Macaca fascicularis: one gene and its partners. The protein of the gene in region 1 interacts with the protein of each later gene in a biochemical or structural test. Links are inferred from orthologs where the notes say so. Each region holds a gene or a part of one and is shown in the gene's direction. Other genes may lie near its edges.

Region 1 (3,759 bases):
CCTAGAGATTGTCCCTATTCTGTTCATATCTCATTGACCTTAATTTAATCACATCATCACTGCAATCTACAGTGGGGGCTGGGAAATTTGGTGTTTGAGGGGATGACCAAGCGCCCAACTGAAAATGTTATTCTTATCTTATGAGAAGTAGAGAATGGATGTGAGGGAATGGCTAGAAACCTCTGCTACAAAGGATATGGTGGTTCTTTTCTGATTGCTTCTAACTTCTCAATGAAAGGTGAGTTCATCAGCTGAGTAAAAGAATGAATGAGATTTTGGGGACTTGAGGAGCAAGGAGAAGGAGTATAATAGTCATTTTGAAGAGTGAGTTAAGTAGGGAACTGTAGTAAGATGGACAGACAGTGTGGAGAGATTACTTGAATCTTGTGGACAGAGGAAAGAGTAGAATCAGATTATCCTGACTCCTGCCTGAAGCTTTACATGTTCAGAGAAAAATGTTGGAAGAAACTCTGACATAATGCTATGTCTGTCATCAGCACACATTTCACAGGACTTTTACTGTCAGGGCTGTCATTTAGTGCCAAGATGTTTAGAGAGCTCTTAATAAGTATAATCAGTTGGCTAAGAAAATGTGTCCATGACTCAGGGAAGGGCATATTTGTTTTCCTCATTTCCCAATCTGTAAATAAGCAAATTCTGAAAGAGGTTAGTGAAAATATCCATATCCAGAAGCTGTCAGCTTTCCTTCGTCAAACTCTATGACTTGGGCTGAAGTGGGTGTTGGAGAGGCAGCTACCATGTGCACCCAGATGACCATTCATTTAATATGTTACTATTTCCCATTATTTTCTCAGGATAGATAGCCAAAGTGGAACCCTGGGAGATTTCTTCATTTTTCCTGTCACAAAGAATTGGTAATTCAGTAGTCATAGGAGTTTGTAATAAATAACCCACATTGATTTCTCTGTTCTGGAATAATTTTGCTTCTCCTCTTCCCGAAGCTCTGACACTTGCCCCAACAGGCAATGATGGAAAATTATTTACAAAGTGGCACAAACTCCCTTACTGCTTTGGATATAAATCCAGGCAGGAGGGGATAGCTCTGAGGCAAGAGATCTAGGACTTCTAGCCCCTGAACTTTCAGCCGAATACATCTTTTCCAAAGGAGTGAATTCAGGTCCTTGTATCACTGGCAGCAGGGCGTGACCATGGAGAAGCTGTTGTGTTTCTTGGTCTTGACCAGCCTCTCTCATGCTTTTGGCCAGACAGGTAAGGGCCACCCCAGGCTATGGGAGAGATTTGATCTGAGGTATGGGGATGGGGTCTAAGACTGTATGAACAGAACAGTGGAGCACCCATCATGATGTGCGTGTGTGTGTGTGTGTGTGTGTGTGTGTGTGTGATGTGTGTGTGTAACTGCAGAAGGGGTCAGTCTGTTTCTCAACTTTAAACTCTATACGTAAGTGAGGGGATAGATCTTTGTGATCTGAGAAATCTCTCATATTTGCTTGTTTTTCTGGCTCACAGACATGTCGATGAAGGCTTTTGTGTTTCCCAAAGAGTCGGATAATTCCTATGTAACCCTCAAAGCACGGTTAACGAAGCCTCTCAAAGCCTTCACTGTGTGCCTCCACTTCTACACAGAACTGTCCTCAACCCGTGGGTACAGTATTTTCTCTTATGCCACCAAGAGACAAAATAATGAGATTCTCATATTTTGGTCTAAGGATATAGGATACAGTTTTACAGTGGGTGGGTCTGAAATATTATTCGAAGTTCCTGAAGTCACAGTAGCTCCAGTACACATTTGTACAAGCTGGGAGTCCGCCTCGGGGATCGTGGAGTTCTGGGTGGATGGAAAGCCCAGGGCAAGGAAGAGTCTGAAGAGGGGATACACTGTGGGGGAAGATGCAAGCATCATCTTGGGGCAGGAGCAGGATTCCTTCGGTGGGAGCTTTGAAACACAGCAGTCCCTGGTGGGAGACATTGGAAATGTGAACATGTGGGACTTTGTGCTGTCACCAGATGAGATTAGCACCGTCTATCGTGGCGGGACCTTCAGTCCTAGTGTCCTGTACTGGCGGGCACTGAAGTATGAAGTGCAAGGTGAAGTGTTCATCAAACCCCAGCTGTGGTCCTGATGGTACCTCCCGGTTTTTTACACCGCACGCGCCCCACGTCTCTGTCTCTAGTACCTCCCGGTTTTTCACACTGCCTGGTTCCCATGTGGTTGTCTCTGGGCCTTTGTTCCCCTGTATGCATTGCAGGCCTGCTCCACCCTCCTCAGCACCTGAGAATGGAGGCAAAGTGTCTGGTCTGGGAGCTCGTTAACTATGCTGGGAAACTTTGTCCAAAAGAATCAGAATTTGAGGTGTTTTGTTTTCATTTTGATTTCTTTTTAAGTTGGACAGATCTTGGAGATAATGTCTTACCCTCACATAGATGAAAACACTGACACCCAGAAAGGGGAAATGATGTTTTAAAAAATGTCACAAGGCAAGAACTGAGAAGGAAGTGCTGGTCTTCTATTTAATTCCCCGCCCAGGACCCCCAGAAAGCAGGAGGGCATTGCCCACATTCACAGGGCTCTTCAGTCTCAGAATCAGGACATTGGCCAGGTCTCTGGTTTGGGTCCAGAGTGCTCATGATCATGCCATGGAACTGCTGGACCCAGGTCTCCTGAAATGGGAAGCCCAGCAATACTGCACAGTTCCTCTATTTTTCTCAAAGCACACTGGAAAGGCCGTTAGAATTGCCCTAGCAGAGAAGGTCTGCTTTTTTTTCCAGAGCAAAATGAGGCACTAGGTATAAATATGTTGTTACTGCCAAGAACTTACATAACAATAGTTTTTGTTTGCTCGCAGTGCTTTCTTAATTTTATGGCTCTTCTGGGAAACTCCTCCCCTTTTGCACATGAACCTTGTGGGGCTGTGAATTCCTTCTTTAACCCCTCATTCCCAATATACCCAGGCCACAAGAGTGGACATGAACCACAGGGTGTCCTGTCAGAGTAGCCCATCTCCCATCTCCCCAGCTCCCTATCTGGAGGATAGTTGGATAGTTATGTGTTCCCAGCAGGACCAATTATAGCCTTTCCAAGGATTGAGTTATGGCCTTTGGGAGTGAGATATCTTCTTGCTGCTGGATTTCCAAGCTGAGAAGATATGAACCTGGGACCACCAGTAGCCATCTTGTTTGCCACATGGAGAGAGACTGAAGACAGAAGCCAAACTGGAAGTGGAGGAGCCAAGGGATTGACAAACAACAGAGCCTTGACCACATGGAGTCTCTGAATCAGCCTTTTCCAGAACCAGATCTATACCTGGACTGCCCAGGTCCATAAGCCAATAAAGCCCGTGTTTACTTGAGCAAGTCCAAGCTGTTTTCTGATGGTTGCTGTAGAGGTTGTGACTAACTTCTCTAAGGGCCTTTGAAACCAAGTCCCTGTAACTTTACACTGCCCATTACACAACATATCCATGGCACTTCAACCTGTCCCCGAAAGTCCCCTGAAGGGATTCCCTCTGACAAGCACATCCCTCTTTTGAGACAGCTGGCCATTCATGTGTGGCCAGTTGTGGGGGTTTTAATACTCTCATTCTATCATTATTCCAATTTGGGAGCAAAAACTAAAGATCATTGAGATCCATGAATCTGATGCCAGGTTCAGTGACTAGAATGCACTTGCCCCAGTTGGTTCCAGTTCTTTGTAGAAACAGACCACTCAAAGATGACAGCGGCTGTCTTCCTCCAGAAGTGTCCTTCCTCCAGTACGGTCTTTCAGTACTAAGTGACCAG
Region 2 (3,759 bases), about 47 Mb from region 1:
AATGAGCGGTATCTTAAAACACAGCAAGTATAATAATGTAAAATAAAGAATAAACAGAAGAAGTCAGTGAGAGAACATATGTGGACTTGAGTTATGTTCTTCCAACAAAGCAGAAATTTTTATATATATATAATATATATATTGGAAAATAGGTGAGTATCTTCCACATACAGAGGAATCACTAATGAATAACTCTCAGGGTCCACATGTCACTAAAATTTTCTGTTGTCCTTTGCTTTGCAGTACCTAACTTAATTATTTCAGGATGTTTGAAAACAAACCAGTGTGTCTGGACCACATTCCACTGTCTGTATATATATATAATATATATATATATGTAAAATATATATTATATATATGTATGAATGTATTGTACCTTAAAATAAAGATACCCTAAAACACAACTTTAAAAATATTTAAAATCAAGAATATACTGAAACTTTTGTACTCAGTATGATCTATTGTGAGTTCTGAAAATCAGTCTGTTTCTCTAAACACATAAAAATACAGACAGTGGAATGTGGTCCAGACACACTGGTTTGTTTTCAAACATCCTGAAATAATTAAGTTAGGTACTGCAAAGCAAAGGACAACAGAAAATTTTAGTGACATGTGGACCCTGAGAGTTATTCATTAGTGATTCCTCTGTATGTGGAAGACACTCACCTATTTTCCAATGTTTAATTTTAAAATTAGTGTTCTCATTGTAAGAAGAGTATGTTGGATAAGAAATTGTATTTTGACCATTTGTGAGGAAAAAAAAAAAAAAAAAAAACAGCTTGCCAAACTCAACAGCAGGATTTTCAGAAAGAGATTAGTGTGCCAGATGTTTATTTTCAATGTGACATCAACCCAGTTCCTATTTTCATTTTCTTCTGCATTGCGTACCATAAGTTTGAAACTATAGTTTCCGAAGTTCCTTTCTCCATAGCTTGCTTCTACCTTAGATTCCCCCATGAGATGTACTTAAAGAAGATTTGGAAGAAGAGAAAGACAAAGTATTATCTGGTAGCAGCTGCTCATAGCAGCTGAGATCACCAACAATAGCTTTTCTTGATTCTGGAAGTTTTCCTGAGAAACATCCACTGCAGCACCATGGATAATTAGTGAGGGCATCACTAAGATTCTTGAATATCAGAATTTTCCGGAAATAGCATTTTTGACCTTAGTTCCCTCAGTTCTTCCAACAGTTGCAGAAGCCTTTCGTTCCCTTTATTAATACTCTCTTTACTCAAAAAATAAGAAATAAAATAAATTAATATTTTATATTACTTTTGGATTCAGTCCATTACTGTCCCTAAATAAAATTGTACACATCAACTGATAAGCTACACATCAGGAAATCAATTCCACAGATGATTGTGAAACCACTAACTGGAATTATTGAAGGATTTTGCAAAACTCTCTGAACTTTGATATTTACTAAGTGACCTTAAAGGCCTAGCTTTGTGGTAGTGCACTTAAATTCAGAATCACACTTGGTAACTAGCAAGGAAAGATTTCAAACCCCAAATAGTGCAATCAAGACCTTTGTATGAATACATATTACTGAGAATATCTAACATGTTGTTACTAATCAATGTCATTCTCACCTTGTGGGTTTCCTGTGCTAATGGACAAGGTAAGTTAAAAGCGATCTAAACACTCAGCTTCCCTCTTAAATGTAACTTCAGGTAATATCTAGCTTTGTATATCTATCTGTTTTTTAATGAATCAAAGAGGATTAATTCACTATGCTAGTGGAAGTGGCATATTTTGTGGGAGTATAACAGAAACTAATGTTATAAAAAATTATCTCATTTTAACTTAAAGAAAAAATGAATAATATTTTATTTGTTTTCTAAGTTCTGCAGTGTAAAAGGCATTTAATATTGATTAAGGAGATATGAGAATGTACTCATGAAACGTTATTAGGAAACATGTCATTAGACAGATTCTAAACTTAAGACGTTCAGAATTTTCTTATCCATAGTACAAGGGGAACATTGGGAGTGATTGATATTTTCATAATCTTACATATGGTGATTTTCATACATTTATATATTAAAAATCAAATAATACATTTTAAATTATGCAGTTTAATGTATTTCTATTATATCTTAAGAAAGCTGCTAAAACTAATTAACATTATCATCAACCTACCGTTTCAACAAAATTAGCAACATATATATATGTTGAATATAAACTTATATCGGAATGACATAAAAAGTAGATTATAAACTTACATTGGAATGACAGTATGTTTTGATTGGCTTTTCTGAGTCCACTAGCAAATGTTCAATAAGTAAATACACAGAAAATACTTTTCAGAGCTTTATGTCATTGTTCACTGATTTCTTTTCTCCTTGATAGTCATATATTTTCTATATTAACTATCTTTTTGAATGCAGGCTTTCCATGTTAAAGAACTATATCATAACATTAGCAGCTGAACCATATGGGTCAAAAATCGTGACCAATCAATGGTGTGTGGCTATTAATGAAGAATACAAACTTTGTTATTATTCAAGATTTTATAATATTTCAACAAATGTAACAGTGGGTAATACTGGAAATCCCATTATCAATTTATGAGAGAATCTTTTCCCTCATCCTCTCCTGTCAAAGCTATGCCACCTTATTTGATTCTAGGGAAAGAGTTTTTAGTTTTATGATATTAACTATCATATGATTTGCTAGTTTTATTTGTTGTGCAAAACAAACTTGATCTATGCCAAAATGGAAAAAAAAAAAGGAATTACTCCGGTTATTTCCTTTTTTAACTGAACTGTTACAGGTATATTTTTTCAAATAAAGATTAAATAGATTAAAGTAGAATGCAAAGGAGAAAAATAGCACTAGTTTGAAATGACTGGAATTAGAGAAGCATATGCGCTATACTTTCTTACTTACTTTCTTAAAAGCACTATAGAAAAGAATGATGACAAACTCTTTCTTATCTGATACTCCAGTTGAAAACTTGTTTCCTCCAATGAACTCTTTGTAAGAGTAAACTAGAGCAAACTGTCTTGTAACTTTGGGTCTCACCTGTATTTCTCAAAGGAGAAAGTAACTCATTTAGTGGAATAACGTGTTGGGTAGAGAGAAATATCTTTATGTATTCAGTAGCATTGGCTCAACTGCATCCCTCCAAAATTCATTTGTTAAAGTCCAAACTCTCAATACCTGAGAATGTGAGTGCATTTGGAGAAGGAGTGCTTAAAGAGGTAACTAAGTTAAAGGTCAATGATTCAGGTGGGCCCTACTCCAATATAACTGGTGTCTATATAAGAAGAGAAAATAAGGACACACCATATAGAGAAAGATCAAGCAGGCATAGAGAGAATACAACCATTTACAAGACAAAGGAAGAGGTCTCAGAAGAATTCAACCCCGTTGACAGCTATATCTCAAACTAGTAGCCTCCAGAACTGTGAGAAAATAAATTTCTATGAAATCTGTGTACTTTATTATGGTAGCTCTAGCGGATGAATAGAATGGTATTTACACAATTTATTAAAACAATATTAATAATTAAAATAACTTTCTACTTTTTACTCAAGGATATATATATATATACACACACACACACACCCCCAACACAGATTTTAGAGCGTATTCATCAGAATTTGGTAATAATATCTTGGGTGTATTGTCCTTGCTGATTTTTGTCTTGTTGAACACTTTATGTTTACATATTATCTGTATTCATCTATAATCAGAATCTAGTTAATCAAATCAACAGATATTTTTCATATGATTAATGAATGATATACTTTG
Region 3 (3,659 bases), about 47 Mb from region 1:
TATGTAATTTATACATATTTTATCATGAAAACGAAAGAGAACTAACATTGAATACTGACTTTTTTGTACAAACATTTAGTAGTAGCTTTAGTTGTCCTTCAGTTATACATTATTTTGGGGTATTGATGCAGTATTATTTAAATATTCTAAAATTATTTTAATATACTATTTTGATTAAATTAATGTTTCTAATTTACTTTTTAATCATTTTATGGTCTTTAGGACAATGTATTCTCAGTTATTTGGAGAATGGATATAACACAAAATATGAAGGAACATATTGACAGGGTCAATCTGTAAAAGTTGAAGTCTGTCCTGACTACGGTCTTCCAAATGTGCAGACCACAGTTTCATGTACAGAGGATGATTGGTCTCCTCCTCCCAGATGCATTCGTGGCAGTTAGTCCACTTGTTTGAGATCCCAGTATGTCCATAACTGTCTAAGATTCTAGACCTTTAACGGGAAAATTTTGTGTATCAATTCTCAAGCTGAATATAGGCCTTTTTTATTGTTAGATAGAAGCCTAGCTAGTTTTCAGTTCCAAATATGTATGAATACATTTATAATTTCTGGATAATGAGTGGATTCTGTCACTTAATAGTCAAGTAATAGAAATATAAATTTTGAATAACACAAAATAAATAAAATATAGATGAAAGTAACACTGCTTCAGTATTTATATTGAAATCATGCTAAATGCATTGATTTAAGTAGATTATGAAATTATAGTATTAATTAAACAATAAATATAAGGCTTGCCCAAAGGTCACTTGTACATCTCTCACAATTATATGACATCTATTGTTATAGTTAGTGCTCTGTTGCTTTAAATTAAGACTCATCTTCTGTTATAGCTGACTTTCACTTTTTAGGTAAAGGGGTCTCTGAAAGTTGTTTGTGTGCATCGCTTGCAATTTACAAAACATTCCATTATAGAAACCGTATGATAATTATGATATAATTGACATGGAAGACAATAGAAATCTTCTTACACCTTTGTAGGAGCAATTGTACTCAACAATAGCCTAAGTCTCTGAAAGAAAAGTCCCTTTTTCTCATACCGTAGGCACCAACTCTATCATTAATGCACTTAATAAATATTGTTGTGTGTCAAGTGCTTTATAGATATGAAATACAATTATTTACAAGAGAAACTGAACACTGTAGTTTAGAGTTTAGAGGAGATTAATAGAAAAGTAGGCAAGAATAGATCAGAAAACTCATGATTATGACAAATGCTATATTATAAATATTTATCATCTTTAACATGATTTATTTTTCTTTCAGATAGTAAAATTAGTCCATTTACATTTTTTTAATTACTAACTAAAAAGGAACATATACATTACTAATATCTTAGAACATATACATTACTAAAATAATTACTACCTTATGCATAAACACATTAGTAACATATAGAACATATACAATAATATGTGAAGAACCTATACATTACTAATATATTACAACTTATTTTTGCTATCTTGTTTGTTTGTTTTTTTCCTGCTTACATTTCCACATTTCTCTCAAACACCATGTCTATATGGGTTTAAGACCCACTTAAGATGACAATCATTTTAATTTCCTGGAGACTAAAGATTTGCAAATTTATTTCCTTGTCTGTGGTAGCAGTGTGTACTGTATATTTGCCTGAGAAATGGCATATGACTATATGAGGTCTAAGATCTCTTAATAGCATCAAAAAGATTCAGGTTATTGCAAAGTAGCCAGAAACTCTTCCAAAAAGTCATAGGGAATTGAGAGTCTGCTAGATCTGCATTCCTCCGCAAGGCCTGCCAGAGCTCTGTTGACAGTCTCAAGGATTCCTTGCTTTTATTCCGCCTTTCCCTGTATTTTCACTATTTTCTTTCAAAATTCATGGTTTATTTTAGGAACATGGATGTCTAGGAAACTTCCAGTTTTGCTATTTTCAATTCCTTAACAAATGTTTCATTGTTTTACCATATTTCCATGTTTTTACTCGTTCCCTTCTATAAAAGAAGTATTCAACAAATTTTTTTTTCTCTACTTTTTCTATTAGGAACATGCTCAAAATCAGATATAGAAGTTGAAAATGGATTTATTTCTGAATCTTCTTCTATTTATATTTTAAATAAAGAGATGCAATATAAATGTAAACCAGGATATGCAACAGCAGATGGAAATTCTTCAGGATCAATTACATGTTTGCAAAATGGATGGTCAGCACAACCAGTTTGCATTAGTAAGTGATTTACATATTCCCATCCAGTTTCTGTCAACTTCATTCCTCTCTTTGAGATGATAGTGTTTTACTTAAAAATATAGAAAACACTTTTAGGAGTAAAGAGATATAAACACTTCTAATACCATTTAACATTCTGTGCCAGACTAAGCCTTTTTTGCCTTTTAGAGTAATGGCTACTTGGGAAGATGATCATTCCATCTCTTTCAATTCAATTTGCCTTTGCGTAAAAGCAATCCCATCAGGTACAGACTAGTTAGACAGCTGCACGGGACTCTCAGCAAAATGTAACAGTTGTCAATAAAAACTTTGTTCTTTTCCCTTTCTTCGTATTTCAAAATTATCAACTGCTTGTATTGTATTCCTTGCTCACACTCAGCAAAGATGTACATGTCGGGGAAGGGATGAGTGCTTAATTCTGAGTTTCTGCTAGCATCAGGAGAATGAGACCTTAATAATTTGTATCAATGATGCAACTGAGGAGAACCAACTCAGAAAATTATTTCCAGCTGGTAATCTAGTACAGAGAAAACAAGTAAAGGAAAAGGGTAAGTGGGTGGGCTGAATGTTTACAAACCTCATACTTGGCAATGGATTCCTTACAACTAAAGTTCTCTAAAACATTCCCAACTTGTAACTACTTATTATTAAAGAGATTGCATAATGAACCGTGGAAATCTTGCAGTGGCAAAAGTTGATCTTTTTTGTCTTTTCTCTGTAGACATTCACAAAGATTTTTAAAGATAAATTATTTAATTTATTTTTAACACACATATTGATATATAATTTACATAGTGCAAAATCCACTTCATTTTCAAGTGTACAATTCAACTATTTTTAGCCATGAGATGAAATGGAAGGGACTACTGATACATAATAGTGCATGGATGAATCTCAAAAGTATTAAGCTAAGTGAGAAAAAGAAAGGATACAATTAGAAAGTGATTATCTCATAGTTACTCTGAGGTTTGGGAGCTATAAAATGTAATTCCTACATTTCTAGAATACTGTTTTCAATTTCTATGCTTATCATGGGTTCTGCAAAAGACAAAGCTGTATACTTCAATCTAATTTGACTCAGCTTTGATAAATGATCAACTATAAGACTTGTAAAATAAAAGATAAGATGCTTTATATATTTTTGTAGAACCTATTATCCAATGAATATAATTTTAATACAACCTATACGCCAATACTGTCAGTAAATTGTGTACATAAATATGTATATTAACTTTTAAATTCACAAAATTTTATCGTCTTTAAAATAATACTTTATAATGATAAAGGTAGACTGTAATAACAGCCAATGAGATGTTCTCAAATAAAAATAGGTCTAACTAAATATTGTTAATATGTTTTTCATAGGATTTAAATGATGAGAAGGATATATATAGGGAAATATATTTTTCTCTTCTAATTAACTGTTACAGCACA

What was found.
Region 2: the proteins of CRP (region 1) and CFHR3 form a complex in vitro, tested with the Homo sapiens proteins (2 studies listed by IntAct, with this or other methods). The link is inferred for Macaca fascicularis from reciprocal best matches to the Homo sapiens genes CRP and CFHR3.
Region 3: the proteins of CRP (region 1) and complement factor H-related protein 4 form a complex in vitro, tested with the Homo sapiens proteins (4 studies listed by IntAct, with this or other methods). The link is inferred for Macaca fascicularis from reciprocal best matches to the Homo sapiens genes CRP and CFHR4.

Annotation. Positions count from the first base shown.
Region 1 is NC_088375.1:101,346,768-101,350,526, forward strand, and holds CRP (C-reactive protein), read left to right. Parts: upstream 1-1,065; 5' UTR 1,066-1,169; coding exon 1,170-1,230; intron 1,231-1,488; coding exon 1,489-2,102; 3' UTR 2,103-3,329; downstream 3,330-3,759. UniProt on the Homo sapiens protein: Displays several functions associated with host defense: it promotes agglutination, bacterial capsular swelling, phagocytosis and complement fixation through its calcium-dependent binding to phosphorylcholine.
Region 2 is NC_088375.1:54,511,472-54,515,230, forward strand, and holds the start of CFHR3 (complement factor H-related protein 3), read left to right. Parts: upstream 1-1,490; 5' UTR 1,491-1,563; coding exon 1,564-1,621; intron 1,622-3,759. UniProt on the Homo sapiens protein: Might be involved in complement regulation.
Region 3 is NC_088375.1:54,604,424-54,608,082, forward strand, and holds part of complement factor H-related protein 4, read left to right. Parts: intron 1-2,042; coding exon 2,043-2,225; exon of another isoform or gene 2,226-2,773; intron 2,774-3,659.